Linked DNA regions of Notamacropus eugenii. The protein of the gene in region 1 binds, or shares a complex with, the protein of each later gene. Links are inferred from orthologs where the notes say so. Each region holds a gene or a part of one and is shown in the gene's direction. Other genes may lie near its edges.

Region 1 (16,503 bases):
AGATAAGTCATTTAACCTCTATCAGCCTCTATTTCCTTACCTGTAAAATGGGTATAATAATAGTACCTATCCCACAGGGTTGTTATGGTAAGTTCACAAAAACACCACATTAAAACACTATATTAATGCTGGTTGTTATCATTTCTGAGTTCATGTTTAATCTTTTGGCCAATTCAGCCTATGCACACATTTAACAACCTTTGAAGACAGCTGTTACCTCAGGGTAAGCAGCCTGCCCGGTCCATAGTCTCATAACTATCCTAAAATAACCCTGTTCAAGGACCCCTTAACGTATATTGTATGAGGCACAATACAGGAACACATATGCTAGCCAAAAGTAGTGAACATTATGATGAAGGAAATCCAGAAGAAAATCCAGGTAAAGGAAGGCTTGGTTTCTCAGTGAATGGTAAAGTCCTTAAAATGCTTGTTTGAGAGTATTGATTGCATTAAGCCCATAAACTTTGAAGGAGAATATAATATAATATATTAATGTAAAAGTGTCTGACCTGTCCATCCCCAAAGGAAAGACAAAGGAGGAAGATTCAACAAGCATCTCAATGCACACTCTATAGAGCCTGGCCAACAGTATGTAGTTAATCAATCAACAACCACGTATTAAGTGACTACTGTGTGCCAGAAGCTATATTAAGCTCTGGGCATACAATAAAAGGCAAAAAAAAACAAAAAAAAAGTCCCTGGTAGTAAGGAGCTCATAGTCTATGGGGGAGACAATATAAACAAACATTTATAAACAGATAGACAAATAGGATAAATTAAGGGTAGACTCAGAGAGAAGAAAGCAAGATTAAGGAGGACTGAGAAAGGCTTCATGCAGAAGGTGGGATTTTAGCTGAGACTTAAGAAGTCACAGAAATGAAGATGCTGAGATGAGAAGGGAGAGAATTCTAGGCATGGAGGCCAGAAAGGGAAAATAGTCAGATTTGGGAAATGGAGTGTCTGCAGTGGATTGTACATCTACATCAGTGGATGTAGAGTGCATAGAAGGAATATCCTATATGTTTATAGGAGACAGATTGGTATACAAAATATAGTGGTATACAAAAAGGAGGAGAGGAACAGACTTGGATTTTTTTCAGGAAATTGCAATGTACTTTTACTGATCCCAAATTTCCCATAATAAATTGGACAAGACAAGACTTTACTGGTGATTCTGGATGGTAGTGAAACCTGGACCACAATTTTCCCTGAAAAACTAAAGATGAATATCTTTACTAAGAGGGCAATGGAGAGAGTCATGGTGAGGGTGAACAGATTGCAACATATAACCAATAAGGAACTAGGAAGAAGAACATGAATTAAGGATGATATCAGAGGATACTATGACAGACAGGATGGACTGATCATGTGGTGAAGGCTAGGAATGACAAGGGGACAACCCGAGTGTGTTACTCATAGTCTCAAAATGTAAGGAAAAAAGCAAAGAAGGTGAACTTGTAGCGAGTAGGACAACATGGACAAGCATGGATAGATGATGATCTACATTATTAGAAGGAAGGCTTTATTAAGCACCTACTATGTGCCAAGCACTATGCTAAGTGCTTTTTATGAATATTATTACCTCATTTGATTCTCACAACAACCTTGGAAACTAGTTGCTATTATTATAATCCCTATTTTACAGCTGTGGAAACCAAGGTAGACAGAGGTTAAGTGACTTGCCCAGGATCACAAAACTTACAAGATCACAAAACAAGGCAAGATTAGAATTCAGGTTTTCCTGATTCCAGTCCCAACATTCTAACTACTGGACCACCTAGTTGCCTCAATAGGAGGGAACTTCCAAACTGATACAATCACAGATCCCCAAAATAACCTTAAAGAAATAACCTAAAATGGAACAGGAAGTACAAAAACTCACTGAAGAAAATAATTCCTTAAAAATTAGAATTGAGTAAGTGGAAGCTAATGATTCTATGAGACATCAATATGCAATAAAACAATAACAAAAACAGTTTTAAAAAATAGAATAAAATGTGAAGTTTCTTACTGGAAAAACAACTGACCTATAAAATAGATCCAGGAGAGATAATATAAAAATTATTGGAATACCTGAAAGCCATGACCAAAAACAAAAAAAAACCTGGACATCTTTCAAGAAATTGTCAAAGAAAACTGCCCTGATATATTAAAATCAGAGGGTGTAATAGAAATTGAAAGAATCCACTGATCACCACCTGAAAGACATATCAAAAATGGAAACTCCCAGGAACCTCATAGCCAAATTCTAGAACTCACAGATCAAGGGAAAAGTACTGCAAGCAGTCAAAAAGAAACAATTCAAATATTGTAGAGCTACAGTCAGGATTACATGGGATTTGGTAATTTCTATATTAAAGAACTGGAGGGCCTGGAATATGATATACCAGAAGTCAAAGGAGTTAGGATTACAACCAAGAATTACCTACCCAGAAAAATTGAAAATAATCTTTTGAGAGGAAAATGGATATTTAACAAAATAGAGGACTTTCAAGCACTCCTAATCAAAAGATCAGAGCTGAATAAAAAAAATTTGACCTCCAAATACAAGGTGAAGGAAAACATAAAAAGGTAAAAAAAGAAACAAGAAAGAGAAAACAAAAGAAATTCAATAAGGTTAAACTGTTTGTATTTCTATATGACAAGATATTTGTAACTCAACAATTTTATTACTATAAGAGCAATTAGAAGGAGTAAATATGGACAGAAGATACAGATATAAGATACCTTTGATGGGATGATACTCAAAAAAAACAAAGTAAAGGGGTGAGGGGGAAATTTGCATTGGAAGAAGAAAGAGGGAGGAGGTTGAAGGGGCTAAAATTATCCCACATGAAAGAGGGATGAAAGAGCTTTTATAATGGAGGGGAAGATGAGGGGAGGGTGGCAGGCAAAGCTTAAACCTTACTCTCATCAAAATTGGCTCAAAGAGGAAATAACCAACAAACTCCTTTGGAGCAGATATCTATCTTACCACAGAAGTAAGCAAAAAGGGACAGAGATAATAGAAGAGGGAGGGAAGACTGATAAAAGGGAGGATAGATTAGGGAAGATGGTAATTAGAAGTAAAATATTTTTAAGGAGGGAAAGGGGGCCATAAGAAAGAGGGGGGACAAATAAGGGAAAATAGCTTGGAGGGAAATAAACAGTTATCTTAACTATAAATGTGAATGGGATGAACTCACCCATAAAATGGAAGCAGATAGAATGAATTCAAAACCAGAATTCTATAATACCTTGTTTACAAGAAACACATGTGAAGCAGAGAGATACACACACGAAAAGGTAAGGGAATGGAGCAGAATTTATTATTCTTCAGCTAACACAAAGAAAGCAGGGGTAGCAATAATGATTTCAGAAAAAGCAAAAGCAAAAATAGATCTAATTTAAAAAGATAAGGGAGAAAACTATCTTGCTGAAAAATACCACAGACAATGAAGTCATATCAATACTAAACATATGTGCACCAAATCGTATTGCATCTAAATTAAATTTTTGAAGGAGAAACCCCAATCCACTCCCTATCTATTAGATTGTGAGTTCTCTGAAGGCTAGAACTATGTCTTATTCTTCCTTTATATTGTGCAGTATAGGGCACCAGGTCTTGCAAATACAAAGAACTCAGTAAATGCAGAACTCAATAAATGCATAAGGAAGGATGGTTGGATGAATGGATGAATGAATGAATGAATCATAGAAAGAAAAAGCCTTCAGAGATCACCTAATCTAAGTCTTTTATTTTCCTAAGATGCAGAAATATTTAGCAGATTGTCCAAAGTTTTGAAAGCAACTGGAATCCATGCTGTCTTTGAGAACTGGGGATGTTAAGAATAAAGACTCAAGAAGATACATGATAACTATTTACAAATATCTGAAAGATTATGTTAGGACAGAGGAGTTAGATTTACTCTGCTTGGCCCCAGAGGCCAGAACCATGAGCAAAGGAAGGGAAGTTACAGGGAGGCAAATTTGGGCTTAATGAGAGATGAAATTTTTCTAACAATTAGAGCTGTCCAACAATAAAATGTACTGCCTTAGAAAACAATGATAATAACAACGATAACTTACTCCTATGGCAGCTTATGGTTTACAAAGGGCTTTATTCACAATAGTCCTGCAAAATAGGTAGCACAATTATTTTTAAGTATATTTACAGATGAGGAAACTGAGAGTCATAAAGTTGAAGTTATTTGCCAGTCCTATAGCTACGGTGTGTGTGTGTGTGTGTGTGTGTGTGAGAGAGAGAGAGAGAGAGACAGACAGACAGACAGACAGACAGACAGACAGAGAGATAAAGAGAGAGAGAGAAGGAGAGAGACAGACAGACATAGATAGGGACAGAAGCAGAGAGACAGAGAGATGAAGAAGAGAAAAGAGGGAGAACACAGTGCAGCAAGCATAACTTACAGAGAGCTGGCCTTGGAGCCAGAAGACTTAAGTTCAAATCTAATCTCTGACACACACTGGTTGTGTGACCCAAAGCAAGTCAACTAACCTCTCAGTATTCTAGGCACATTCTAAGAGAATAAATTGCAGCCAGGGTGCAATCTCTATTTCCTGAGGAAGGTCTTCAACAGGACCTCCTTACACCAATACATTTAGAATCGTGGTCCCTGTCTCCCACCTTATGATGCTGACATGAAGTGTTGTAGAGGACTCCCAGTCAGGAAGCCCTGAGTTCAAGCCCTGCCTTGGACACATCCTGGCTGTGAGGGCCCCATGAGGCAAATAATTTAAAACTCTCAGTGTTCTGGGCAGATATGAATTGCAGAACAGTTGTTGATCCAATTAAAGGGAGTTTTCTTGCTGTGAGTTCCCTAGAGTGATGTAATCACACGTCTGAACTCCCTTCCCCCACCAACAAGGGGGCATGATGTTGACTGTTGGAAGCACAGAATGCATGTCTTAGACCCCAGAAGTTCAGGATTCAAATCCTACCTCAGAAATTTACTAGCTGTGTGACCCTGGGCATGTTATTTAATCCAACAATTTCTGATTCTGTAAAATAGGGATGTAATATCTACAGCACTTAACTCATAGAGTTTTTTGTGAAAATGAAAAGAAATTATTTATGTAACACATTTTGCCAACCTTAAAGCAATGTAATAATAAGATATATAATAGCTAACATTTATATAGTGTAGGTGGTACAATGAATAGAGCACAGGGTCTCGAGTTAGAAAGACCTGAGTTCAAAACTAGCCTCAGATACTTCCTAGCTGTGTGACTTTAGGCAAATCACTTAACCTCTGTTTGCCTCAGTTTCCTCACCTATAAGATAATAATAGCACCTACCTCCCAGGGTTATTATCGGGATCAAATTAGATAATACATGTAAAATGCTTAGTACAGTGCCTACATAGTAGGCACTATATAGCTGCTAGCTATTCTAGTCTACTTTGGGTCTACTATGGACTAGGCACTGATAATATAATGAATGAAACAATTCCAGCACACAAGCAATAGGCACCAACATACCCTGATTCTAGGAGGAGAATGAACAAAGGACAAGGTATTTTATCCCCATGTTGAACTTCAAAGTAATTAAGAGACCAGTCCAAAGTCATGGGGATAATAAGTGTGGGAGATGGAATGAAAAACCATGTCTCTTCGTTGGTCCAGGAACACCCAGAGGTTTTCCCAGTGTACCACAGCTACCTCTCTAATAGGAGCAAATGTAAAGGGAAAAAGACATATTTAAAAAGAAAAAAAGAAAAACAGATGTAAGTGCCTTTTGGAATTATCTGTAGTTTCTGGATAATCCATGTTTTGGGGCTGGACAGTGTCCTGATTCTGCTCTGACTGCAGATGCACAGACAATCTCAAGGTTAGTGTTGTTTTCTCTTTGGAACCTGTGAGTCCTTGTCTCCGTGTGACTAGAGAAGCAGCCTCTTCTAGCTTAGCTGGTTTGGGAATGTGGCCCATGGTGGGAGAACAGGTCCTGAGACTGTCTATGAGGAGTAACACACACAGAGACAGAGGCAGAGTGTCAGAGAGACAGAGAGACAAGAGACAGATAAAGACATACAGCCAGAGACAGAGGGACAAAGACAGAAAGATGCAGATAGAGATAGACATAGAGAGACAAGAGACAAAGTCAGAGAAACAGAAACAGAGACAGCCAGACAGAGACAGAGAACCAAAGACAGAGAGATTGCTGCCCGGAAGAAACTGTTGCCCAGGCTGCTGGGTTGGAATATAGCTCTCTGTGCTGAGATTGTGCAAACAAGGCATTGCTCAAGGATCCGGGTGACCTCCATTGTGCAAACAGGTGTTTACTGGAGGCTCTGAGTTGGGCATGCTCAGAGAGCCTTGTTACCAAAAGCCTGAAAGGCTGACTCAAAAAGAAACAGGAATTATTTGTATGCACATTTTCATGTTGTTTATTGTTCTCAAGGGCTTCCGGCTGAGATGTATTTGATGGGAAGATGAGTGATGAGTTCTATACCTGGACCAGCTTCTGCTCTTCCAAGAATGCAACAAATTTAATAGATGTGTTAAACACCTACTTCATGCAAGTTGCCATACTAGACCCTGGCGATACAAAGACCAAAAAGATGATAATAATTCTGCCTTCAAAAGGCTTACATTCTATTGTGGTTTGCAGGGGAGGTGCGGGGGGTTGGGAAAACAGCATATATAGATTAGGTAGTCTGATGAGGGAAAGATCACTAGCAAGTGCGAGGAGGGGGAAGGGATATCAAGAAAGGTATCATTAAGGAATTAACATCAGAATTAAACCATGAAGGAAAAGATTACAAAAGACGTGCAGATAAATAATTGGGAGCAGAATATTGGGGAGTTGAGGTAGGGGGAAAGATGTGGCAAAAAGAGGGGTCCAAAATGCTTCAGAACCTCACCAGAGACATTTCAATGACACATCAACCTTGAAATGTTAGATTTTGTTCTCCTCAACTTGTTTTTGGGCAAGACAGTCGATTCTTAATACTTATCAGTTGGATAAAAATTTCTTCCTGCTTTTAAAGACTCTAGAAGAAGAAATTCATCATCATCATAAGAACTGACATTTATAATGGGCTTTAAGGTTTTACAAGGCATTTTACATATACTAATATCCTTTGAGTCTCAGAAGAACCCTTTGAAATTAGTACTCTTTGACAAATTAAGAAACCGAGACTCAGAAAGGTGTATTGATTTACACATGAGTGAATGCCACCAATCAATCAATCGATGAGTAATTATTAAGCCCCTAGTTTACATGCTGGGTACCGTACCACGGCTGGGTATACAAAGATAAAAGTGAAATAGTCCCTGCCCTCCAGAAACTTATATTCTATCGCAGGAGACAATATGTACCTTACTAAGTGTACGTAGAATAAATACAAGGTAAATTCAGAGGATGGAGGAGAGTGAAGAAATAGGAGCTGAGGAGAATCAGAAAAGGCTTTACTTAGAAAGTGGTAGTTGATCAAAGTGTCGAAGGAAACTAAGTATTCTTGGAGATAACAGGTGAGAAAAAAGTGTATTCCAGGTAGGAAGACAGTCAGGACAAAGGTTGGAAGTGGAAGATCACATTGAACAACAGTAAGACTCAGCAATGCTAGACCATGGAGTTGAGGAAGGAGAATAATGTATCATAATGTAGGACAAGTTGATTAGGACCAGGGTGTGAAAAATTGTAAAAGCAATAAGAAACAAGATTTCGTCTCAAGATTCTCCAGCCTTAGGGCCCATTTTTGTTTTATTATATTATATGTGTTTCCCATTCTCCCACCTCCCTTCCCTCCCACATTTTTATGCATTTTGCTATTGGCCATTCCCTTACTCCCCCCTCACAGGATGTGTTCCTTTAAAACTAACCTGTGGATCACATATTTGGGGAAGAGAGGGGACTTACATAATGATAACCCATATCTATGCAGACATACCTCAGAGATATTGTGGGTTCAGTTCTGGACCACCACAATAAAGTGAGTAGCATGAATTTTTTGGTTCCCTGATGCATATAAAAGTTATGTTTACACTATACTATAGTCCATTAAGTGTGTAACAGTATTAAGTCTTTTTAAAAAACAATGTATACTATTTAATTAAAAAAACTTTATGTTGTTTTAAAAAATGCTAATAATCACCTGAGCCTTCAGCAAGTCATAATCTTTTTATAAGTAAAAAGTCTTACCTCAGTGTTGATGGCTGCTGACTGATCAGGGTGGTGGTTGCTGAAGGATAGAGTGGTTGTGGCAATTTCTTAAAATAAGACAACAACAAAGTTTGCTTCATAGATCGACTCTTCCTTTCCCTTGAACACTTAGAGATCATTTAAGGGTTTTTAATTGTTGTGTCTCGGGGAATAGGGAGGCCTGAGGAGAGGGAGAGAGAGACAGTGAATGGCCCATCAGTGGAGCAATTAGAATACAACATTTATTACTTAAGGTCCCCAATTATATAGGCATGGCTCACGGCATCCCAAAATAATTACAATAATAACCTCAAAAGATCACTGATCATGGATCTCCTAACAGATATGATAATAATTTTTAAAAGTTTGTAGTAGTATGAGAATTACCAAAATGTGACAGAGTCATGATGTGAGCACATTTTATTGGGAAAATGGTGCCAGTAGACTTGCTCCATAAAGGGTTGCCACAAACCTTCAATTCATAAAAAATACAGTATCTGTGAAGGGCCATAAAGTGAAATGCAATAAAATGAGGTTTGCCTGTATAAAGCTCTACCATTAACAACAGTACTTTCTATTGATCATCTCCCTTAAGTCTCACAAAGATAATCAATACAAGTGTTTTTATCCCCATTTAATAGATAAGGAAACTGAGATTTCGTTTCATCAGCAACACATCTTGTCAGACTAGCCTCATTTCCTTTATTGACAATATTACTGAAATAGCAGATGAGGGGAATGCTGTGGATATAGTTTTTCTAGATTTTAGGAAAGCTATTTTAAAAATATCTCATGCTATTCGTGCAAAGATGGAAAGGTATAGATTAGATCAAAACACAGTCAGATGAATTAACAAAGTTAATAATAGGTAGCCAAACTCAGAGAGTAGGTATTAATGATTCAATGCCAACACAGTAGGAACATCAGAATTGGGAGCACCTCAGTTTCTTCTGAAAGCTTAACATGTTTATCAATGACCTGGACAAAGACATAGATGGTACACTCATCAGATCTGCAGATGACACAAAAGTGGGAGAGACTGTTAACATGCTAGACAACAGTCACAATCCAAAAGAATCTCAGGAGGTTGGAGAATGGGGTTGAATCTAATGGAATGAAGTTCAGCGGGGATAAATGTGAAGTCTAGCACTTAGGGACCAAAAGAAAATCCACTTCACAGACATAAGATGGGAGAAGGCATGGACTCGGGAGTTTAGTGGACTGTAAGGTCAGTGGGAATCAGTTCTTCAAGCAGAGATTAGATGACCAGTTGTTGGATCTTTTATGGCAGGGATTTCTTTCATGTGTGAACTGGATTAAAGGTGTGCCCTCCAACTCTCACATTCTGTGAAGTTCAGAGGGGGCTAAAATTGTAGAATGTCAGAGAGAGAAGGAACCTTAAAGATTATGCAGCCCTACCCTTTAGTATCACAGATGAGGAAACTGAGGCTCGGATAAGACACACAAAGCCAAAATTTGAAGGCCCTCTGACTACAAAGTTAGCTCTCTTTCCATGGTACCACCGCTATGTTACCTCAATATAATTGACACAAATTTGAAGTGGGTACAACCCTCTTCTCTCTATAAAAACAATGGCCAACACCCAAAATTCTCCTCCACCTTGTTCTATCCTCCCTCCCCATTGGGATTCAGCTAAAGAATTACTCAGAGAAATTCACAACCAAGGACTTCAAGGAAAGGTAGGTTTCAGGTTACCCAAGTGACCAATATTTGGGGGAAAAGGAAGAAGGATTAAGATTGCATTTGACCTGCCCAACTGACAGGTTCCCAAAACACCTATTTTGGGGGGACAGTAGCAGGGCAGGCCCCAAAATAGGCTGCAGAACCCCTGGCCTCTGTCCAGGGGCAAGACTTCTAGACCAGGAAATCCGGGGGGTGGGGTCTTCTGAGCCTTGCCACATCCCCAAGCCCCTTTAAGGGTCCTGGGCAGGAAGGCTGCCCCAGAGTGGCTGCCCAGCTTCTCAGAGCTCTCCTTCCTGGGGGGAAGGGGCTCCCTTCCCAAGGAGGGAGGCTGAAGCAGGTGTTGCAATCCCCCAACCCCAAGGAAGGCCTGTCAGAAAGTCAGAGAGACTAACGACAGCCCTGGGTTGCGAGGGAGGGGTATGGGGAGAGGAAGGTGGAAGAACAGTCTGTACTGAAGTAGTTTTCAGGAACTGAGCAAGAAAAGAGATGATGTGAGGCCCCCGGTGATTGCCTGTGGCAGGCCAGCCATCCAGTCCAGCCAGTTCGATCTCTGAGAAGTGACTGAAGGGGAGGTAAAATGACTCCACGCATGAGGTAAGTCCTGAAGGCACCAGCCCCCAACCCTCTACACCTCCCCAAGAGCAACCCCCATTCCCTCTCAGTTGAGCCCTGACAGTCTGAGGTCCCTCGGTTTAAACTAGGGCCAGGAAGCCGAACCCCTGGAACCTTACTTAGGCCCAGCTCCTTAGGAACAGGAGTGGTGGGATATGTGGATCCAGATGCACTGCGCTCCCTAGATATATATCAGTTATCGGCATCTCCAGCGGAGCAGAGGGGAAGGGATATCTGTCTGTCTACCTGACGCACATAGGAGAAGGTCCCCTCCCATCTTTCCTCATAGGGCATGTAGGCCCTGAAAGAGATGGAGTATATATATATATATAAGCATGCCTTTTAAGACGAATCCACTTCTGCTCATATGATTTAAAACTAGAAGGGACCTAGGTGGTATAAGCTATAGAATATAGGTGAAGTCAGAAAGATCTGAGTTGGAATCTTACCTCAGACACTCACTATGTAACCCTGAACAAGCTGCTTTTCTGTCTACCCCAGAAAAATCCATGGGATTGAGATAATAACAGTGCCTACCCCACAGGGTTGTAAGAACCAAATGACAGGATAATATATGTAAATTGGTTTGGGAACCTTAAATTGCTGTGGAAATATTACTTACTAGAGATCATCTTATCCAAATGCTTCCTTGTACAGATGAGGAAACTGAGGTACAAAGTAGCCAAGCTTGGATTCTAACGCACATCCTCTAACACCAAATCAAATGTTTCCTACTAACACTTTGATCAGAATTCTAAGGCAAATGGCAAACTGAGTAAGAAAAGATGAAAAACACAAAGATTGATGATAAGGGGTTTGGGAGCTCTGAGGAATAATGCAGAGATCTCTGAAATCAAAGTAAGGGAGCCTAGGCCTAAACCTTTGGTCTAGTATTACTACTAAAAATAACAATTAGCATTTAAAATATGCAAAGTGCTATAAAAATATTATCTAATTTTATCTTCATTTACCTGTGAGTAAATGTTATTATTATCCTTATTTTCAAATGAGAAAGCTATAGCAGACAGAGATTAATTGACTTACACAGGGATCACACAGACGGTATGGATCTGAGGCAGAATTTGAACTCAGGTCTTCCTGATTTTAAGTCCAACATTCTATCCACCATGCCACCTAGCTCTCTCTAACTCACTCTCTTACCTTAAGCAAGTGCCCTGTCTTTCCTGGGCCTCACTTTGCCCATCTGTAATATGGCAATCATTGGCTGGAGATGAAAACAAATTAGCAGATTACCAGCTCCCTGGTGATAAGTTTTTCTTAGCCCATCTAGGTTGGTCCTTAAACAACAGATGCTCAGGCTCTCACTGGACCTAAGCTGCCTACATAGAACCACAACACAGTCAAAGTTGGGGAAGAGGGGAGTGGTGAATGGAGAGAAAGAAGATGCCTCCATTTAGAAAAGATATGAGATTGGACTAAATGATTTCAACCCAATTCACCATTGATTAAGCCTAAGTCTCTAACATCTGCCATGTGTACTGGGTGCTAGAGGAGAAAGAGATTAAGGGACAATTCTCTGAGGTCTTTCCAGTTCTAATGTGGGGTGGGGGGAGGGAAGAGGAAGGAAAAATGAAAGACAAAGGAAAAGTAGGAGCCAGAGAGAGAGTATAAGAATGTAAGGAGAATCAAGGGAAGGGAGAAAGGAAAAAGAGGGAAAGAAACTTCTCAGAGAGAGGAGAGAGAGAAAATGAAGGGCAGGTTGAACAATGAGCAGAGAAAAAGAGAAAATGAAAAAGAAGTTGAGAAATAAATTTAAAAAAAGAAATAGCTGATATCAATCAGAATGTAAGCAAAGACTCTCTCTTTGTAGCCCCTACATTTAGAACAATATCTGGCACAGAGAAAACTTATTGATTAATTAGTATTTATGTAGAATCTTCAACTCTGCAAATCACTTTGATCCTTACAACAACCTGGTGTTATTCCTATTCACCTTTGACAGATGAGGAAACTGAGGTTCCTAGAGGCTAAGACCACACACAGTATTTGAGGCAGGATTTGAATCCAAATCTACTACACCATACTACCTCTAAGGAAATGGAAGGGAAGAGATGATGCAATACAATGAAGGAAGGGATAGTGCTGATCCATCCAAGTTTCTGGATTCTTCTTTGTTTATGAAGACCAAACTCTTCAGCTGTAGCTGGGCTGAAAGAGTCAGAAGACAGGAGAATAAAAGGCTTCTCCCTCTATCCGGTGGTTTCTGCGGAGAGAAGCAAATCTAAAGAATACAATGAGGGGCAATGAGGACTCCAGACACACGATGACTGGGTAAGAAAGACAGACAGCTATTTGATATAAGCCTCCATTAAATGATGCTACTTTAAAGTTCTTAAAGAACCTTTGGGAGGCTCCATTGCTAATAGAACACTTTCCTTATCATCAAAAAGATTAGGGTTCCAGTCTTGCCTCTGACACATTCTAGTCATTTAATCATGGACAGGTCACAACCTCTCGCTGCTTCAGACATCTCTGTGAGCCTGTAAGTTACAGAAGAGTAGCTGATAGGTTTCGTTGGAGGGAGCTTCCATCTAGGGAATTCCCACATGAAAGAAATCACAAGATCAGACTGAAAAAAAAATGGGAACCTTGAAATTGGCAATACAATGTAGTGGTTAGAGTGCTGACATATCCAGAGGTCTTGGAATTCAGACCTTCCCTCAGATCCCCACTCTTACTATGGGGGACCGTGACCAAGTCATCCAACATCTTTGCAGGTCAGTTTACTCATTTGCCAAAATAGGATTTGTCCTCCCTAATTGACAGGGCTGTGCTGAGGAAAGCACTATGTGATCTCTAAAGGTTAAACAAAGGTGTGTCGTTATATTTCCCAACTACCTCCATCTCTGTTCTCTTCTGGCAGAGTTCATTCTCTTACTGTCAATCAGAATTTACATATTGGTGGAAAGATGTTGTCGCCTTAGGCTTTGTCTTTATTGGAATGAGTGGCCACTCAAGAATAATCTGAAGAAAGGGAAGATGCTTAGTCTGAAGAAGAAAAGATTTAGGAGGCACAAGATCCCTTAGCAGAACTACAACCCATGGGAGGTAGTTTTAAAAGGGGAAATGTAGATTCCCAACAAAGAAATGTCCCCTTACAATTAGAGATGTCAAATACATCCAAACACATGGAAAGGGTCAGTAATGGGAAAAATCTTAGTGCTCATCTAGTCCAATCCCTTCATTTAACAGATGAGTAAACTGAGACCCAAAGAGGTCATTTCTTTCCCAAGGTGCCATAGGTACTAAGTGGCAGCGCCAGGATTTCATTTCAATGCAGCTCAACAAATATTTCTCAAGCTCATGCTGTGTACCTACGCTGTTCCAGGCGCTGGGATTTGTAAGACAAAAACAAAATCATCCATGCTTTACAGTCTAATAAAGGGATAATGACATTTGTATGGTAGAATGAAAGTTCCTTGAAAGCGGACACCATTCACAGTGCCTAGAATAGAGTAGGAGGTGAATAAATGTTCATTTAATTGAATATATACAAAGAAAAATAACTTTTAAAAATGGCAAATGCTTATGAAAAATCAGACATTGAGGGATGAAAGATTTGGTGATGGAAGGATCACTTCTACCTGAGAAACTGTCTCAGAAGAATTGTTTATATTATATCTTAGGATCAGAGATTAAGAACTGAAATGGACAGGAGGATAGACATATAGTCCAACTGTCTCATTAAATACATGAAGCAACTAAGACCCAGAAACCCAGAGAGATTAGAGGGTTATAGCTGAAAGGGACCTGAGAGACTATTTATTTTAACACACCCACTTCACCACCACCCATCCATTCTACCCATGTGGAAGCTGAGGCTCACAAAGATGAAGGGACTTGTCAGAAGTCATATAGGCAGTAATTGACAGAACTGGGATTCAAATTCATTTCCTCCAAATCTAGTGCCAAAGAAGGAAAAGATGGAGATAAGAGGAAGGGAGATGGGAAAGAAAAGTCAATCCAGGCAGGTGAGTCTATGTAAGTAAAGGTATGACAATGGGTGAAGGTAGACTGGGGACCAGAAACTCTTCTGCCTTGAACACTGAGTATATAGGGGAACAGTATGAAGTAAGAGCTGAAAAGGAGGTTGGATCTGGATGGTCAGACTAAGTCATTTGCATTTTATCCTATTAGTGATGGAGAGCCACTAGAACTTTTTAAACAAGTTAGTGACATTTCAGGCTTGTGCATGAGAAAGATTAATCTCATGGTATGTACAGGATGGACTGGGCAGAGACAATAGGCAAGAAGAGTAATTAAGAGTCTTCTTCCAGGAAAGAAACAATGAGAGGCTGAACAAGGGTGCTAGTAGTGGGAATGCAGAAGAGATGGATTTCTGAGATATTGTCAGTCAATGAACATTTATTAAGCACCTACATATGCCAGGCACTAGGATAAGCACTAAGGATACCAAAAAAAAGGGCAAAAAATAAATAATCCTTGACCTCAAAGACCTCACAACCTTGGGGCAAGACAACATACAAATAAATATGCACAAACAAGCTATCTATAGGATAAATGGGAAATAATGAACAGAGAGAAGGTACAGAACTAAGAGGAATTGATGCAAGTTTCCCATAGAAGGTGGGATTTTAACTGAAACTTGATGGAAGCCAGGGAATCCAAGAGATGAGAAGAGGTGCATACAAGGCTAAGGAAAGCCAGTGAAAATGCACAGACTTGGAAGATGAGGTGTTCTGTTTGAGAAATAGCAAGAAGGTCAGTGTCTCTGGATATTGAAGAGTACATGATAGGATGTCAGGTGTAAGAAGACTGAAAATGTGACAGAGGGATTAGGTTATGAAGAGCATTGGACATCAGAGTATTTTAATTTAATACTGAAGATGATAAGAAGTCACTGGAGTTTATTGAGCGGGGAGAAGACATAGTTGGACCCGAACTTTAGGAAAACCACTCTAGCAACTGAGTGGAGGATGGCCCAGAGTGAGGAGAGACTTGGGACAGGGAGACCTACCAACAAGTTATTGGAATAGTACAGGCATGGAGAGAAACCAGGATGTATGAGGGTAATGACAATAATAGAGGACAGACGGATGGGGGATATTCCAGAGGTGTTACAAAGGTTTGCAACAGATTAGATAGGGGTGAGAGACAGAGAGGAGTCAAGATAACACTTAGGTTTCAAATCTGGAGGACTGGAAAGATGGTGGTACCCTTCACAGTAATAGGGAAGTTTGAGATAATAAATTCATCTTTGGAAATATTGAGATTAAGGTGTCTATATAATGGCCAATTCAAAATGTCCAACAGGCAGTTGGAGATGCTAAACTGAAAGTCAGTAGAGAACTCAGAGATAAGTAGATTTGAGAATTATCAGCATAGATATGATAACTGAATCCATAAGAACTGATGAGATCACCAAGTGAAATTGAATAGAAGGAGAAAAGCAAGGGGACCAGGACAGTACCCTATGGGACATCCACAGTTAGCAGGTGTGACCTGGATGAGCATCAAGCAAAGGAGAATGAGGAGTAATCTAATGAGTAAGAGAACCAGAGTAGTGCCCAGAAAACCCAGAGAGAAGAGAATGTCAATGAGAATATGAAGGAGAAGAAGGTGAACGATTAAGTCAAGACTGAGAAAAGGCCTTTGGATTTGGCAATTAAAAGATCATTTAGTGTCTTTGCAAAGAATAGTTTCAATTGAATGATGAAGTCCAAAACCCAACTATAGAGGGTTAAGAGGAGAGAGAGAGGAAAAGAAGTGGAGGCACCTATTGTAGATGGCCTTCTCAAGTTCATTTATTTAGCCACAAAAGGCAGATATAATATGGGACAATTTAGTTAGTGGGGATGGGTGGATCAGGTGAGGTGTTTTTGAGAGCTGGGGAAAGAAATAGGTAGGCAATAAAGAAGTAGCCAGTAGACAAGAAGAGATTGAAGATAAGTGGATAGGACAATCTACTGGAGGAGACAGGATGGAATGGGGTCACTTGTGCACATAGAGGGGTTGACCTTGGCAAGAAGTAGGGCTACCTCATCATGTGAGACAGGAGTAAAGAA
Region 2 (16,732 bases), on another chromosome or scaffold:
AGCAGTGACTTTAGCCTCAGAAGGCCTACGTTCAAATCTCCTATCTGACACTTCTACTTCTATAACATTGTCGTTGCTTGTCCTTCGTTCAAAGAGGACTGAGGACATCAAGAGAGTCCTATCTTGACTTCATGGGGAGTTGGATTGAAGTGAGGCAGAGCCAAGCAAAGTCATCAGCCTCACTGTCTCCTCCAGAGTCATCAAAGTCCAGTGGAACCATAAACGAGTCACTTAACATTCTTGGCCTCAGCTTCCTCACCTATAGAATGAGGGAGTTGTACTAGATGGCCTCTGATGTCAACTCTAAATTTATGATTCTTAGAGTTTTCTCTTTAAGCTATCTACCTCATTCCTCCCCTTCTTTCCTGCCAAAGGAAGATTTTAAGTAAAAAATTTAAAAATCTCTCTCTGGGTAGAGGAGGGATACATTTGTAAGTGAAGATATCATAGAAACAAAATATGTTGATAAATATTTTTAAATGGTGTTTAAAATACATAATAGCACTTAAACGTTAAATAACCTGGCCAGGACCACACAGTTACTAAGGGTCTGAGACCAGATTTGAACTCAGGTCCTCCTGACTCAAGGGCTAATGCTTTATCCACTGTATCACCTAGTCATCTAATAACACATCTTCTCAATAGAAATAAAAATAGAAGCCACACATGAGGACCCTCCTTTCCAATTCTATTCCTCAGATCCCCTCCACATTCTCTTTCTTTGTTCCAGTCTATAAAGAACAGTCCCTTCTCCTTGTCAAAACTGACTTCTCCTTGTATCCTTGATCTCACCTCTCCCATCTCCTCCAGAAACTTGTCCTTTCTAGCATCCTCTCTTGCTATGTAAGCTTCAATCTCTCTTTATCCACTGGTTTCTTCTCTGCTGCCTACAAACATATCCAAATCTTTAAAATCCTTAAAAATCATTCACCTGACCCTTTTATGACCTAAAGCTCCAGCCTGTGTCTCTCCTCTGGTTCTCAGTCAGACTCCTAGAAAAAGCCACCCTCCTTGGCTGCCTTTAGTCCCACACCCTCCCACTCACACCTCAGCCCCATGCAGTCTGATTTCCAACTCTTCCACTTGACTGAAACTGCTCTCTCCAAAATCACCATCACCATTATCTCTTGAGGACAGAGAGAGAGACAGAGAGACAGAGAGACAGAGAGAGAGAGAGTTAAACACCCTGTTATTGCTTTTCATACTGAGAACACTTTTCTCTAGACTTGAAGTGGCACCTTGACTGGTCTACACATGAGCTCACTCCTGGGGACCTTTGAATTAGGTCAAACCTAAAGAGTTAGAGGTGTTTCAGACCAGGAGCAGCTCTGCGGAGGTAGATCTTTGTGCCTATACCAAAGGGTATTTCTCCCCTCCCTACCTCATCAATCAGGGTGTTTTATTAGTGGAGCTATGGGATGCTTAGGAAGTACTCCACCCTACACAAAACAGACAGACAGATGGACAAAGAAAAGCGGTGCTCAGGCAGTTTGAAGAAGTCAAAGAAGAGAGTTGGTCATGGACTCTATACTTGCAGAGCTAACCTTGTTAATGGAGAGTTGAAAGGAACAGACGAGAGAAGCCCAGATGCATGAACTGCCCAGCAGAAGATGCTCCATCAAGTGTCCTAATACCCGGAGAGGAGATAAAGGACAGTGGCTCGCGAGTCGAGAGTCATGAGTTGCTTTGACCACATGCGCTCCCTACATATGTGCCTCATAAGTTTGTGCCCACTTTTCCCATGGGTGATGTGTTTATTTGTGAGTGTACCCCAGATTTCTGAAGAGGGATACTTTGTAGATAGTTATTAGTTGTTCTTACTAAGTCATTATAGCAAATTTCAGTGCCGTGAGCTAAGTAGGTAGAGAGCTGTTCCCGGAATCAGGAAGACTGAAGATCAAATCCAGCCTCAGACATTTCCTAGGTGTGTAATCCTGGGCAAGTCATTTAATCTCTGTTTGCCTCAGTTTTCTCAGCTATCAAATGGGGCTCATAATGGGATCTTCCCAAATTTTCGTATCCAATAAGATAATATTTGTGTAAAGGCACAGTGCCTGATACATAGTGGGTATTATTTATTTTGTTACTTATGTTATTTCATTTATTTATATTATTATTATTTATGCTTACTATCTTCCTTCCTTCTATTGTGTGACTATTAATGGAAAGTGAAGGTTTGCGAGCTACGGTTTTAGGAGTTCAAGTACATAAGAACCTGAATAGTAGCAGCCACTCTCTAAAGGACCCAAGCTGAGGGTGGGCTCTGAGTGTGAATTAGGAAAGCAGCCCAGATAGATAGATAGATAGATGGATAGATGGATAGATGGATAGATGGATAGATGGATAGATAGATAGATAGATAGATAGATAGATAGATAGATAGACACACACATACATCTATGTGTATACCAACATCTATAGCCACACATTTTATTAATAACTTTTGTCTGAACATTAGTCCTCCCGAATCTAGATTGAACCCTTCCTTTTGATAGACAAGCAATTAAGCAAAAACATCCAATCCAGTAATAATTTTGGCAATATTCTTTCCTGGTTATCCCCCTCCACTTTCCCCTGAGAAAAGAGGCATTTTTCAGTATCTGTTCTGAAACCTTCATTTTTTTTTTTTTTTTTTTTTTTGCTGTTCCCCAGAGTTTTACTATCTTTTAGTGATCTTTTCATTTAGGAACGTCTTTCTGATCCCTCCAGTTGCTGGTGCCTTCTCTCCCCAGAGTTCATTTTGCATATAATTTATATTGCATTTTCTAAGAATATGCTGTTTTCTCTATAGAATGTAATACCTTGAGAACAGGGACTGTTTTATTTCATGCTTGTATAACCAGCACCTAGCCCAGTGCCTGGTACATAGTAGAGATCACAGGCTAAAGCATCCAGAGACCCTAAATTCCATCTAATCCAATCCCCCTCGCTTTATAGTGAAGGAAACAGAAGTTTAGAAATTTTAAGTGACTTTCCCAAGGTCACAGAAAAAGTATGTCAGGAGTGGGATATGAACTCAGGTCCTCTAACTCTTGAGTACTTGAGTTATGGAGTTGTGCAGGATATTGTAATAAATGCTTATTCAATGAATGAACAAATGAATTAATGAATGGATATTGTTGCAGATATAAATTATTCTTATTTCTGTTTATTTCACCCTGCATCTGTTAATAAATCTTCTTATATTCCTCTAAATTCCTTGTATTTCTCATTTCTTGCTACACTGTAATACTCTATGACATTAATGAGTCAGTTTTTAAGTCATTCCCTAATTGATGGGCACCCTTTTTGTTTTCAGTTCTTTGCTGCCAGAAAGAGTGCTAGAAGGAATATTGTGGTTTCTATTAGACTACTGTTTCTGTCTCTTACTTCTTAAGTATGTGTGATCCATTGGAGAATCACTGAGTCAAGGGGTATAGACCGTTTTGTCATTCCTTGCATAATTTCATACTAATATTTGTAAGTTAAACCAATTCATCACCTCCCAACAATGTATTACTGTGCCTTTACTCTCATACTCCTCTCACTTTGACTATTAAGTTGTCCTTTTTTTTAAATCTTTGTACCAACTTTCAGGGTGGAAGGGGAAATTTCAGAATGATTGTCATTTGCATGTCTCTTACCACTGGTGATCTGGATCATATTTTCCTGTGGACAGTTATATTTTGCAATTCTCCTTTTGCAAACTGTTTGTTCCCCTCCTTTGGACCAGTTATGGATTTGGAAATGGACTCCTGGTTTCTTCATTTCAAAATCTAATAATTTTTTTCTGTCATCACTTAATTTTGACCTCTCTTCAGCATTCAACATGACAACCCCATCCTCCTTCTGGGATTTTCATGACACTTTGCTCTCCTGATTCTCTCCTTCTTCTGACTCAGTCTCCTTTCCAGGCTCATCATCCATACTCTGTCCTGTCATATGTGAGTGTACTCTCTCTCTTAGGTCCTATTCCCCTGTCTTGCTCAGACCTTGATATTTTATCAGTCCATCCTATCTTCTCTTCTAGTTCCTGCACGAATTTAGACATAGGCTCAACTATCCAATACCACTTAAGTCAGAACAAATCAGAGAACAGAGTGGGTGAGAGAGACACATCCTACCTACAGGTGACGGGAATGTGTGTCTTTCACCTTTCAGTCTGTTGTACTTAGACACTTATCTGAAACAAACAAACAAACAAAGATGGTTGCTCATTATACAAAATACTTATGTTAAGGAGAATATGTATATTCTTGGCTAAAGGAGACAGGTAAGGGATGTGTCGTGGTAGTGTAGCTGGTTTCACTAAATCAAAAGGAGTTTCTTGAAAGGCTACATAATGGACGTAGATATCCCAGAAGATGAAATCCTCTTTTTTTTTTTTTTTTTTTAGCAATTTAGTCTTTTTGTACCAATGACAGAAACAAAGAAAGACACTCAAGAGAACCAACCACTGCTGTTGGTCCTACAGTACCTGCATAGGTCATATATAGTCAAATGTTAACTACATTCTCTCCAAAATTCACTTTAAACAAAAGTTAAGCGAGAAATTCTCTTAAGACATGGTAAACTCATCAAGTTCAATGATCATCTCTGTGCAGATGACTCCTAAATCTCTATATCCATTTGAAAGGCAGCTCTCATAGAGAATATGTACACTGCCTCCATGCTAAAGGAACACACACAGTAACAGCCACAGTGTGTGAGGACTGTTTTTAATAGACAGTCCTTCACAGCAAGGCAAGAACCTAATACATTTCCCAAGGACTCATGATACAAAATGCCATCCACATCCAGAGTAAGAACTATGGAGTTGGAACGCAGAATGAAGCAGACCTATTTCCTCTTTTGTTACGTTTGGTTTGGTTTAGTTTTTCTTGTGGCTTCTAAAAGAACACAGAGAAAGCCTTTGATTGATTCCCAGTAACAGAGACTCAGGGGCCATCTCGTTCCTTTGACCTGTGGGTTATAAAAGTGAGTTGGGAGGGCCTGCATCCCTCTCTCCCTTTCTAGCCATCCAGAACTCCCTCATTATTTTCCCCTTGCACATTCTTCAGGAATGCAGCCAGCGTGGTGGGAGAGGGAGATGGAATAGGAGGAGAGGTTTTCCTTGTCTATTCCCCCACAAGAGGTAATTACAATTGACACAGAAGCAGCACATGGCAGGTGCAGACTTTTTTCCACACTACCTGAGGAGAGGAGTGCAAAAATTCTGTTCCTGAATCCCAGCTCCTTGCCAGGTAGCATGATCCTAAACTTCTAGTCTGAAAAGATACTGAGCAGCACCAGCTTTGGAGTTAATTCATGGGTGATTTCAAATTTGAGTGCCTGGGTTCTATGGTTTGGGCAGGAGCATCTTCTAAAGAGAATTTCCACAACAACGTGCTCCTTGGATGAGAAGAAAAGACCAATAGAAGCCGAAGGATGAAAGCCATAGGACATGTGGACCTTGCTAACTCTCCCCGGTATTGCTTGGGCAGTGCAGATCAAGGTGAATGAGGAATGTCAAGGAGTAACCCCAGAATGTCTTACCTTTTGGTCTGATGGTTTTGTATTTCTGTATTTGCCCACAGGCTCCTGTGAATTCTATGCATTTTCTGTGGTAGTCAAAAAAAAAAAAAAAAAAAGGCTGACCCATTTATTGAATGCCTATGTAAAAATTCCTGCTACCCACATTGTGGAAAACTTAGACATAAACCAAACCTAAGCTTTATTCTGGAGATCTCCCCAGAATAAAATGTATGTAATTGGGGCAAGAGCCAAGGAAACTAACCCTTCAAGGAGTCTAGTCTCCAAGATCAGATCCATGTGAGCCCAGAATTCCTTGGGGAGCTTTGAGCCATATGCGGGTGCTTGCTGGCAAAATTTTAACAACCAGAACTCAGTGGGTGTATGCGTAGCTTACTAAACTTAAATTTAATCTTCATTACTAACATTTTCTCCATCACTTTCTTAAATCTAGACAATCAACAAGACAATAGCTCAGACCCCAATCTGACTATTTCAGAAGGGTAAATGCTTACACTGAAAATTTAACAGTGGGCACTCTGGAGCACAAGCTGGCTCAAGCACACCCCTGCCAAGTCACTTTTATTGATGCTCTTTCTTTTTCTTTTCTCTCTTTTTTTTTAATTTCATTTTTCCAACTGGCTTCCCTTGCCTACGATAGAACCCTCCCTTTTAATAAATAAGCATAGTTGAACAAAACAAATCATTACATTTGGTCATATATGAAAATATATTCCTCATTTGACTTTTCTAATCTACCACCTCTCTGCCAAGAGGTGGGAGAAGCACTTGGCAGTCAGTCTTCTCAAGTGCTCAGTGCACTGACCATAAGCCTGAAGTCTCTCGGTGTTCTTCTCCTTCATGGTGTTGTAGTCAACCTGGACACGGGTCTGCCCCTGATGATATTGCTCTGTCTCCGTTGTTAGGAGTCTTGCCAAGTTTCTCAGAATTCTTCATATGCATAATTTCTTTTTTCTCTCTTTAAATATTTTATTTTTTTCCCCGTTACACGCAAAGACAATTTTTAACATTTATTTTTTTAAAAATGTCGAGTTCGAAATTCTCTCCCTCCCTTCCTTCCTCCTTCCCTGAGACAGTAAGCAATTTGATAAAGGTTATACATGTACAATCACGCAAAACATATTTCCATATTAGTTGTAAAAGAAGACACAGACCAAAAACAAACAAACTATGAATAAAATGAAGTAAAAAATAGTATGCTTCGATCTACATTCAGACTCCATCAGTTCTTTCTTTAGATGTGGATAACATTTTTCATCATGAGTCCATTGGAATTGTCTTGGATTATTATATTGATCAGAAAAGCTAAGTCATTCACAGTTAATCATTGTATAATATTGCTCTTACTGAGTACAATGTTCTCCTGGTTCTGCTTATGTCATTCTGCATCAGTTCATGTAAGTCTTTCCAGGTTTTTCTGAAATCAGCCTGCTTGTCATTTCTTATAGCACAATAGTGTTCCATTGCAATTATATATCACAACTTGTTCAACCAAAATAATGGACAATTCTCTCAATTTACAATTCTTTGCCACTACTAAAAAGGCTGCTATAAATATTTTTGTACAAATAGGTCATGTTCCCCAATACCCCCCCTTTTAAAAATTTCTTTGGATTACAGACCTAGTAGTGGTATTACTGGATCAAAGGTATGCAGTTTTATAGAATTTGGGGCATAGTTCCAAATTGTTTCCAGAATGACTGGATCAGTTCACAACTCCAACAATTAGTACATTGGTGTTCCAATTTTCCCACATCCCCTCCAATATATACCATTTTCTTTTTCTATCATATTAGCTGATCTGAGATATGTGAGAATTATACTTCAGAGTTGTTTTAATTTGCATTTCTATAATCAACAGTGATTTAGAGCATTTTTTCATATGACTATAGATAGCTTTGATTTCTTCATCTGAAAACTGCCCATTCTTATCCTTTGACCATTTGTCAGTTGGGGAATAACTTACATAAACTTGACTCAGTTCTCTATATATTTAGAAATGAGGCCTTTATGAGAGATACTTCCTGTGAAATTTTTTCCCCAGTTTTTTGCTTTCCGTTTAATCTTGGTTGTATTGATTTTGTTTGTGCAAAAGCTTTTTAATATAATCAAAATTATTCATTTTATATCTAGTAATGATTTCTATCTCATTTGGCTATAAGTTTTTCCCTTTTTTATAGATTTGGTAAACTATTCCTTGCTCTTCTAATTTGCTTATATCATCACACCCTTTATGTCTAAATTGTGCATCCATTTTGACCTTATCTTAGTATATCTGTAAGATAATATAGTGTAAGATGTTGGTCTATACCTGTTCTTCCATGCTATTTTCTAGTTTTCCCAGCAGTTTTTGTCAAATAGTGAGTTCTTGCCCCAAAAGCTAGGGTCCATGTGTATCATCTCTTACAATAACAAGTCATCCTTGGCAAATAACTCTCCTTCATTCCTTTCTACAAGTAAACGGAACCCACCTTTGGGTCCCTTGGCTTCCATTGGTGAATTTTTGCCTTAATTTTTAGGGGCTCAGGCCATTTTGTCTGTTCCAAATCACTCCCGGTATCTCTAACTCACCCCCCTCCCCTTCCCCTTTCCAGGGGTATTGTCTTTCCCTATTAGCATGTAAGTTCCCTTAGTGCAAAGACTGTCTTACTTGCTTGTACTTGTATCCTCGGTGATTAGTACAGCACCTGGCACATGGAAAAGACTTAATAAAAGCTTCATCTACCTTTTTCCTTTCTTTCCCTCTCCCTTCCTCTCTGTCCCATTCTATGTCTCTCTCCATCTTTGTGTCCCTCTCTTCCTCTCCCTCTCTCTCTATCTTACTCTCTCTGTATATACATATATACACACATTTATATATAATGTATATATGTACACATGTGTACATGCACACACACATATATAGGCAGCTAAATGGCACGGTGGATAGTGTTAGAACTAGAGTCAGGAAGTCCTGAGTTCAAATCCAGCCTCAGTGTGACCCAAAGCAAGTCATTTAACCTCTCTCTGCCTCACTTTCTCATCTGCAATATGAGGATAATTTGGGAGGGGGGGGTTCTTTTTTAATTATATAACTCATTTAGACAGACATCCTCTCATTTGGTTTCATATATTTACGAACTTCTCCAATTCTCCTTTCCACTGCAAAATATTTAAGCTGTGATTAAAATTACAGCTACTGTGGGGCCGCACTAGACTTGTGCATTTTTTTAATAGAGAAAAACAAAAACTCTAATTACTTTTTCTGATTTTTCTTTTGCCTGGAAACATTTTGGAAAAACCTCACCAGTCTTTCCTTCCTGTCAATAACCACTAAAGTAACACCACTAGCCAGCTTTGTCAAGATAGAATAGGAATAATAATAGCACCGACCTCCCCAGCTTGTTGTGAGGGTCAAATGAGATAAGATTTGTAAGACACTTAGCAGAGTGCCTAGCAGAGAGCAGGCGCTGTTAGCTATTATTAGTACTTAACCTCGGCCTCATTTTTCTCAACTGTAAAAGGGGAGGGGGGGAGCAAGGGAGTGGTGGTAATAGCACGAACCTCCTAGGGCTGTTGTGTAGGTCAAATGAAATAATTTGTAAGTAGTTTGGGATGAACACCTAGTAGGTGCTTAATGAAAGCTTGTTTCCTTCATTTCTAAAGTACCGACTGTGTACCAGGCACTGCTAAATGCTGGGAATACAAAGGCTAACTGATAGCTCTCAAGGATCTGTAATTTAGAAAGCATTTTCCTTTCAACAACCTAAAGAGGTAGAAAGTGTGTTATTAACATTCCAAATGAGCTGAGGCTTGAATAAGTGAAATGATTTGTCCACTAACAGACTGGGGAGTGGCAACCAGAGCTCGTCTTTTGACCCACAAAGTTCAGGGTCTGTTTGATACCTGTCAGGTGTGGCCACCAGGTGGAGTGAGAGTCCCAGGGATGGTCCCTGCTGTAAGGGGGCACCCTTCATCTCAGGAACGAGGGGCAAAGCTATTCTTGGGCATGGGGCACATGGTGGGGAAGGCAGTATCCTGCCAACCTGTCCTCAAATCACTTTCCAAGGACAGAGCTGTTCCCCGTTCCCTGCTCTTGCACACACACACACACACACACACACACACACACACACACACACACACACATTGCCAACTTCCTTTCTAGGGGGAAACATTCCTAACCAACAAGGCTGTGAAAGGGGCAAGCCTGACCCAGTCCCTGTGACTCTCCAGGAAGATGATGCGTTCTAGGGGGAGCGAGAACATGACCAGTTCAGTCAAGAGCTACTGCGATTCTTGCTTCACTCAGGACAGACATCCGGTTTCAGCCAGCTGGGGAATTTGGGGGCTTAAAAGAATGAGTCATGACTCACTGGTTGGGGGATGTGCGTGTACTATGGGGAGTTCCCAGCATAACCTGCTCAAAGCAGCCTGAAGGTTGGAATTGTGCCTGGTCCAGAGGAAGGGGGGATGGGGGGAGAGGGGAACAGAGTTAGAACATGGCGGTGGAGCACCCTATAGCTTCTACTATATGCCCCAATTTCAGATGCAAGAGAGGCAGTTACTTCTACAGGGAGAAGAGGCAGCCAAATCCAGGAAAGCTTGAAGAAAGAGACACAGTCACAGGGGCCAGAGAACTATTCCTTCCCTTCTTAGCCAGGGAGCCCAGCCAGGCTGAGGGAATTAGAAGAGAAGGCTGCAGTGCGAGACCAGAATGGGCTAACAGGACAAGAGGGACCCGACGGGTCTTTCTTCTTGGCTTCCATCTGTCTTTTTGTCACTGGCTCCATTTCTGTCACTGTTCTCCATCTCTTGGTCTCGGTCCCTCCCTCTTATCAGGCAGGCCCTAGATCACACAGTTCTCTTAGAAAGCCCCAGGGCATCTCTGGGCTATGGGGTGGGGCGGGGAAGGGAGCACCGGACGTCAAAGGGGGATGAGATATTCCATTATTTCCCAAAGTTTTCGCAAACTGAGCCCTCGGCGCCCCAGACCCCTGCCCTCCCACCCCCACCCCCTGACCCCACTCCACCCTAAGGCATTGTCTTGGGCATTGATTTGCATAAACCTGGGAAGTCATTACTAAGAACTTTCAGCACCAGGTAATTTCCTCCCTGAATGGCCCATCCTATAAAGGCTTCAAGCAGCCAGCCTCAGACACAGTCCAGCGCCTGCAACTCCTGATCCCAACAGGCCCCATCCATCGACCAGACCAAATCCCCATGAAGCTTCCCAGTGAGTCTGGTGACCTAAGGGCCCTTCTTCCTTCATCGCTAAGACGGGACTGCCTGGGCTGTCTATCATTCTGCCTAGGGTTAGGAAAGGCACCTGAAATGAGAAGGGAGTGGGATTCTCATTGACTTTATAATGGGGAGGTGGGGAGAGTCAGAGACACTAGAGGGATCCCTTGTTGGGAATGGAAAATGTCTTAGGGTGGAGGGATGGGGACCCTTCTCTAAAGAAAGTCTCTGTTTTGATAATTCCCCTCCCTCTCTTTCCCCAGACCTGCTGGTATTCTGGCTGAGTGCAGTCTGGCCTCAGCTCCTTGCCATCCCCCTGAGCTCCTCCAACTACCTACACCAGAGCTTCCTTCCCCAAATCCAGGAGCAAGTGAGGAAGATCCAGAATGACATTGAAGGACTACAGCAGGAATTGGTGAGAAAGGGACCCAGGGAGTAGGGAAATGAGAGGCCCAGGGGCAGACTGGGGTGAAAGTGGTAGCACCTGAGAGTGCCCAGGGAAAGGACATGGGGAAAACAAGAGTGAGCTAGAATAGAAACCAGGAAACCAAATGAATGGGGATGTTAAGAACAATCCCACTGAGATAGAGAGAAACTGAGGAGGTACAGGAGGCAGGAGGAAGGCTGGGATATTAGAACTTCTGGCTGGAAGGAACTTTAGGGTGGGATATTAAGAGAAGCTGAATCTGCTCAAACTTGCCACAACTATGAGTAAGAGCCAGGATTTGAACTCGCTCCAAATTCAATGTTCTCTATCCACTGCCATCAAGATAGATGGTCAGACAAAAACTAAGAAGCAGAGACCATATATAGGGCCCAGGGGTGACCCTTTACCTTCAGTTCTACTAAGCATTCTATTCCTGTCTTCCCAGTGTGCCAACTATAGACTGTGCCATCCAGAGGAGCTGATTTTGGTTGGCCAGTATCTGGGCATCCCCAAGCCACCTCTGAAAAACTGTTACAGTCAGGACTTAAGACTGGTAAGTGTCCCCAAACTCTTCTCTGACCTCTGGAGTCAGGGATAGAAGGTATGGGAAAATACACATTCTTTCTTTCCTCTTTGGGGGTGGGTAGCTCCCCAAAAAATCCTATCTGGATTTCACTAATTCTACCCTGATGCTCAGTGCTACAGTTTAGGGAGAGGAGGTATGGATTTGAGAATTTCATGGAGGGAATGTAGGGCGGAAGAGTGTTTAGCTCCAGCTCCAGGCCCTTTCTCCTAACACTCTGCCTAACCCTAGGTGGCCTGCCTGAATCAGCTGCACTATGGGCTTCAGCTCTACCAGGGTCTTGTGAAAGCACTAGGGGGCATCTCCCCTGAGTTGGCTCCGACTGTGAACATCCTGCAGCTAGACATTGGTGATTTTGCTGCCAACATCTGGCAACAGGTGAGACTTACTGCTGCCTAACTGTGAGGCATTCCATTACATATCAAATGAACATCCTTCCTTTTCCCTTCCTGATATTATAGATGAAAGGATGTTTTTGTTCTTTAGGGAATAGCCATTATATTTAGAGGGGAGGTATGGGTCAAAGGTCTAAAATGAACCCATCTCTACTGTTGGTCTTAGAGGACTGTTAGGGTGGAATTTGTCCAGGAGGCAGAAATCATCTAACGGTTGAGGTTCAGCCATGGAAGGCAGTGGTTGAGACCTGCTGGCTCCCCCTCCAAACTCTACCTCTGACACCTTCCTTCTCCCACAGATGGAAGATCTTCAAGTGGCTCGTGAGGTCATGCCCACTCAGGGCCCCCTGCCCACCTTCAGTTCCTCCTTCCAGCGGCGAGCGGGGGGCGTCATCATCTTTAACTACTTGCAGGGCTTCCTGGACATGGCATACCGTGACCTGCGCCACCTTTCCCAGTCCTGAGTTAATCCTATATTTATCCCCTATTTAATATTTATATATTTAAACTTAGTAAGATATTTAAAGGGTGAAAGGGACTGGAGTCCTCTCCCTCAATCCCATTTCTAGGTCACAGTCAGTCTCCCTGCTCATAGCAGGGGAAAATCCTGACCAGCCATCCTGGGGGCTGGAAGATAAATAGGTAAATACCAAGTATTGCCATTAAATGACCAATCTCCAGGTGGGAGATGCTCCGTTGTTTAATATTTAAACAGCAGTGTTCCCTAGGTGAATACTGGTACCTACTCTCCTGGTCTAGCCATGGCTGGGTTGGAGGCAGAGCCTAACTTACCAGTCTTGCCAGGGTCAATCCAACTCTGTCCTTTGGTTTTTCCTTTGCTGCATGGGAAAGGCTCTTTGCAGAACAAAGAATGCTTTGGCTGGGAGGTGATGACAAAGTAAGCTCCTTGAGGGCAGGCACAGTTTTTCATTTTGGTGTTTGCATCCCCTGTGCTAAGCACATTGTAGGCATTTGAATAAATATTTGTTGAATTGCACCTGAAATCCTAATTCTGTGTGAAGTCATTTTCTTTTCAAGAATTTGGGGTGTGAAGAAGGTATTTATGGGAGATCAGAGGAGGTCCCTGGAGTCCTTCTTGCTCTGAGCATTCATGGTGGCTTGTTACTTTTATTCCTGGTATCCAGCTGCTGAGCAGATGCCCAGCTAGCTTTCCAAGAAGGGAAGGTAGGGCTTGGTGGGGCTCCCCGAGCTGGAGGTCGGCCCCCTTTTTTTTACATTCCCAGACAGTCTGCCTAACCCAGCTCCACTGTTGATACCCTCTGAACAGAGAAGGAGCTGGGTTTAAGCCTTCACAGCCTGGCTGAGCTTCTATGAGCTTCTATTAGCCTGTCTGGGTTGTAACTGTTGATTTAATTATAATTTTGATCATGGTAAGAAAGGCAGAATGGAGTAGTAAATAGAGAGATATCCTCAAAACCAGAACAGAGGGGAGGCCTATAGATGACAGCGTCTGATAAGGTAGGCTCTGAACACTTCCCACCACCTCCATGCAAACTCTCCTCCCTAATCTCCCTCCCATGCCCACCACATTCATTTCAATTCTGTCAGAGCCAGACAAGCAGCCTCTAATCAGGTAACCACCATATCCCAGGGCAGTTCCATTGGCACAAAGTGCCACAATGGCTAGTCTTCTCTCTCCATGCCTAACAACTGCCCACCCTTCAGTTCCTCAGAAACCAAATTTCCTTTCCCTGCCTAGTTTCTAGAGAAGAAATCCCACGTAAGCTGTGCTAGAACAATTTCTCAGCTTGGAATTATAAAGAACTTTAGAGTGTCTAGCTATAATGGACTAGGAATTAAAAGAATCCCATTTTCCAAATCCCTCTCCTGACGAAAATAATTAAACTAGAAGCCAACTTTGGTTGGGCCTCCCAAGTAGGGTTTATGAGGATGAGGGCTGGAAGGAGTTACACTCACACGTGAAAGCTGGGCTCCAGTCAGAGAGGGCCTAAGGGAGGGAGCCCATAGCACTGATCTCTTCCCTCCAGCAGCCACTCCTGGATTCCCTAGAGGAGGGCAGGCCAGACCTACAGACGGACACACCCCAAACCTCACAAGGAATAGTAGAATAACACGTTCTTTATAATAAAGATGGTGTGGAAAGTGGATCCCAAAGGCATACAAGAAATATTTCTTAGTCCTAGCAGGTTGACTGCTACTTGGAAAAGCAGAATACAGGAGTCTCTCTTATTTGACTAACTACATTTGTTACAAGGGTTTTGTTATCCTTATGTTCAATGGGGGAAGGGAGAAAAGGAGGGAGAGAAAATAAATGCTTAGTATGTGAAAAAAAATTATAATTAAAAACAGAAAGACAAGAAGGAGGAGGTTTCAATCTACATTCTAATAAACCAAGGCATGATGAGAAGCTCTCCAGGAATAATTGACCAAGAGTTAAGGAGGCAGCTGGTGGCTCAGTGGGTAGAGCTGCCAGCCTGGAATAAAGAAGACCTGAGTTCAAAATCCAGCCTCAGACACTTACGAGTAATGTGATCCTGGGTAAGTCACTTTACCTCTGACTGTTTGACAAAAAGATCTAATGGAGAAGGAAACAGCAAATCACTCTAGTGTCTTTGCCAAGAAAACTCCATAGAGAGCTGTAGTGCATGAGATCGCAAAGAGGGGCATATAACTGCGTAATAAAGATAACAAAGTCAAGGAGTGGACATCACAAAAAAGTACATTATAACAAGTCTTAGACTTGGAGTCAAAGAACTGATTTAGAAATTGCACAAATGTCCCATCCCAGGTAAACCCTATCCCCTCCAATACACTGCCCACACCTCCCCAAATTCACTCCCCAATACCAAAGAGCAGAGCCACCTGCTCTATCCACTCAGGAGGGACAGTGCCCTAAGGGGCAGCACAGGGCCTCCCACCCCCAACACCTGCCATCTCTCTCACCCGGGCCCCACAACTTACAGTGGTGAAAGGCATGAACTGCAGGATACTGCCTCGGCTGCCCTGCTCCAGGCAGTCCACACACTCCTCCATGAACCACTGCACAAACTGCGTGTGAGGGCCTGCTGTCCTGGCCCCCAAGATGGAGGAGATGAGCAGGAACAGGTTTGCTGTGCACAGCCAGACACAAGAGGTACAAGAGGATCAGTCAAAGGCACAAAGCATGAAGAAAAATCTGGAGATGCAGAGGGAGCAGAAAGGGCAAAGGAAGTTCTGGAGGCAGGAAGAGAGCAAGAGGAAAGGAGAAATCAAGAGGGGGGAGAACAGAGGAGGGTTAGGAAGAAGCAGGAAGAGGACAGAAGGGAGGAGACAATTTGGTACAGGGGACACCAGAAGGTCCTCAGGGGCAGACTGGGAGAGGGTCTCCACCACCAGGTAAGGGAAGGTGGGAGAAGGGAGTCTCCTGCCCAGCTGGCCAGGCTTAGGAAACAGAGGGAACTTACCAAGGACTCGGTTCAAAGGGTCTCTCATATTGACTGTGTGCATCCGAGAGGCTGACAGAGAACTGCTCATGGACCTGTCAGCTGGGGAATGGGAGGAAGAGGCAGAGGGGAAGACATGGTTTGCTCAAAACCCTCTCCTTCCCCACTCCAAGGGAACCCCTCCTCAAACCCTGAGGCCTCCCCAGTCCCTCCCCATCCCTCCCCCAGTTTCCTGGCTGACTGGTGAGATGAACCCCACTCTGTTTAAAGGTCCCAGGGCAAACCCTAAGTCAAAGTATATCCCCTTCCTCACAGAAGAGCCCTGAGAAGAAGAGAGCCTCCCCAAAAAAGGCTCCTGGCCTAGGAGGAATCCCACAGAGGGAATTTCAACCCTCACATTAAGGAAGCCCCACACTGGCCTCTCTGCCAGACAGAGGGAAAGGGATGGAGGAATACCAGATCCCAGAGACAGAAGTAGCTCAGGCACCAGAACCAGGCCAACCCTAGCCATCAGGTCACTTTCCCTGTGCCCAGCTCCTTACAAGAACTTGGGAAACTGCTCCCAGGACTACAATGGCACTAGAACAACCTCCTTTGGGGACTTCTGTCCTGAAACCTACTTTCTGCTCTATTGAACATTCTCTCTCAGGTCAACAAAGACCTCCCAGGTGTCAAATCCAGTGGCCTTTTCTCAGTCCTTAGCCTTCTTCAGGACCCTCTGACATCATTGCCCAGCCCCACCCCACCCCCTTCTCCCTTGCTCTCAGAAACCACACTCTCTTGGCTCTCCTCCCTCCTCACCACTCACTCCTTTTCCTTCTCCTTTCACACTATCACAGACCTCAGAGGACATCCAGTGCAACAAACACCTAAGCAAGAATATCCCCAACAAGAGACCATCTTAGCCTCTGCTTAAAGACCTCCACTGATGGGGAACTCACTCTCTGTGGAGCCTGCCCATTCCTTCCATCCAGTGTTTTGGGACTGCCCTGATTATCAGGAAATGTTGCCTCAGATCAAAACAAAATCTGCCTCTTGTGCCTTCCACAGATTTCTAGATCTGCTTTCCAGGGTCAGGGAGAACAAGGCTGAACCATCTTCAGTCACAGACCGTCCAGCTAACTGGATAGGATCCTATATATTTACAAAAATATTTATAGAACATTTTGTGATGGCGAAGAACTGGAAACAA

What was found.
Region 2: the proteins of CSF3R (region 1) and CSF3 are in contact, whole or in part, in a crystal structure (PDB 2D9Q), measured with the Homo sapiens proteins. The link is inferred for Notamacropus eugenii from reciprocal best matches to the Homo sapiens genes CSF3R and CSF3. Residues at the interface, in NP_000751.1 of Homo sapiens: Arg164, Arg190, Lys191, Leu193, Leu194, Leu195, Tyr196, Gln197, Asp220, Met222, His261, Ile262, Asn263, Arg311, Pro313, Leu314; in NP_000750.1 of Homo sapiens: Ser42, Leu45, Lys46, Glu49, Gln50, Arg52, Lys53, Leu141, Asp142, Asp145, Thr148, Thr149, Gln152.

Annotation. Positions count from the first base shown.
Region 1 is NC_092876.1:83,167,644-83,184,146, forward strand, and holds the start of CSF3R (granulocyte colony-stimulating factor receptor), read left to right. Parts: upstream 1-10,111; 5' UTR 10,112-10,438; intron 10,439-16,503. UniProt on the Homo sapiens protein: Receptor for granulocyte colony-stimulating factor (CSF3), essential for granulocytic maturation. Plays a crucial role in the proliferation, differentiation and survival of cells along the neutrophilic lineage.
Region 2 is NC_092873.1:355,564,329-355,581,060, forward strand, and holds CSF3 (granulocyte colony-stimulating factor), read left to right. Parts: upstream 1-10,587; 5' UTR 10,588-10,858; coding exon 10,859-11,148; intron 11,149-11,596; coding exon 11,597-11,711; intron 11,712-11,972; coding exon 11,973-12,119; intron 12,120-12,435; coding exon 12,436-12,600; 3' UTR 12,601-13,117; downstream 13,118-16,732. UniProt on the Homo sapiens protein: Granulocyte/macrophage colony-stimulating factors are cytokines that act in hematopoiesis by controlling the production, differentiation, and function of 2 related white cell populations of the blood, the granulocytes and the monocytes-macrophages.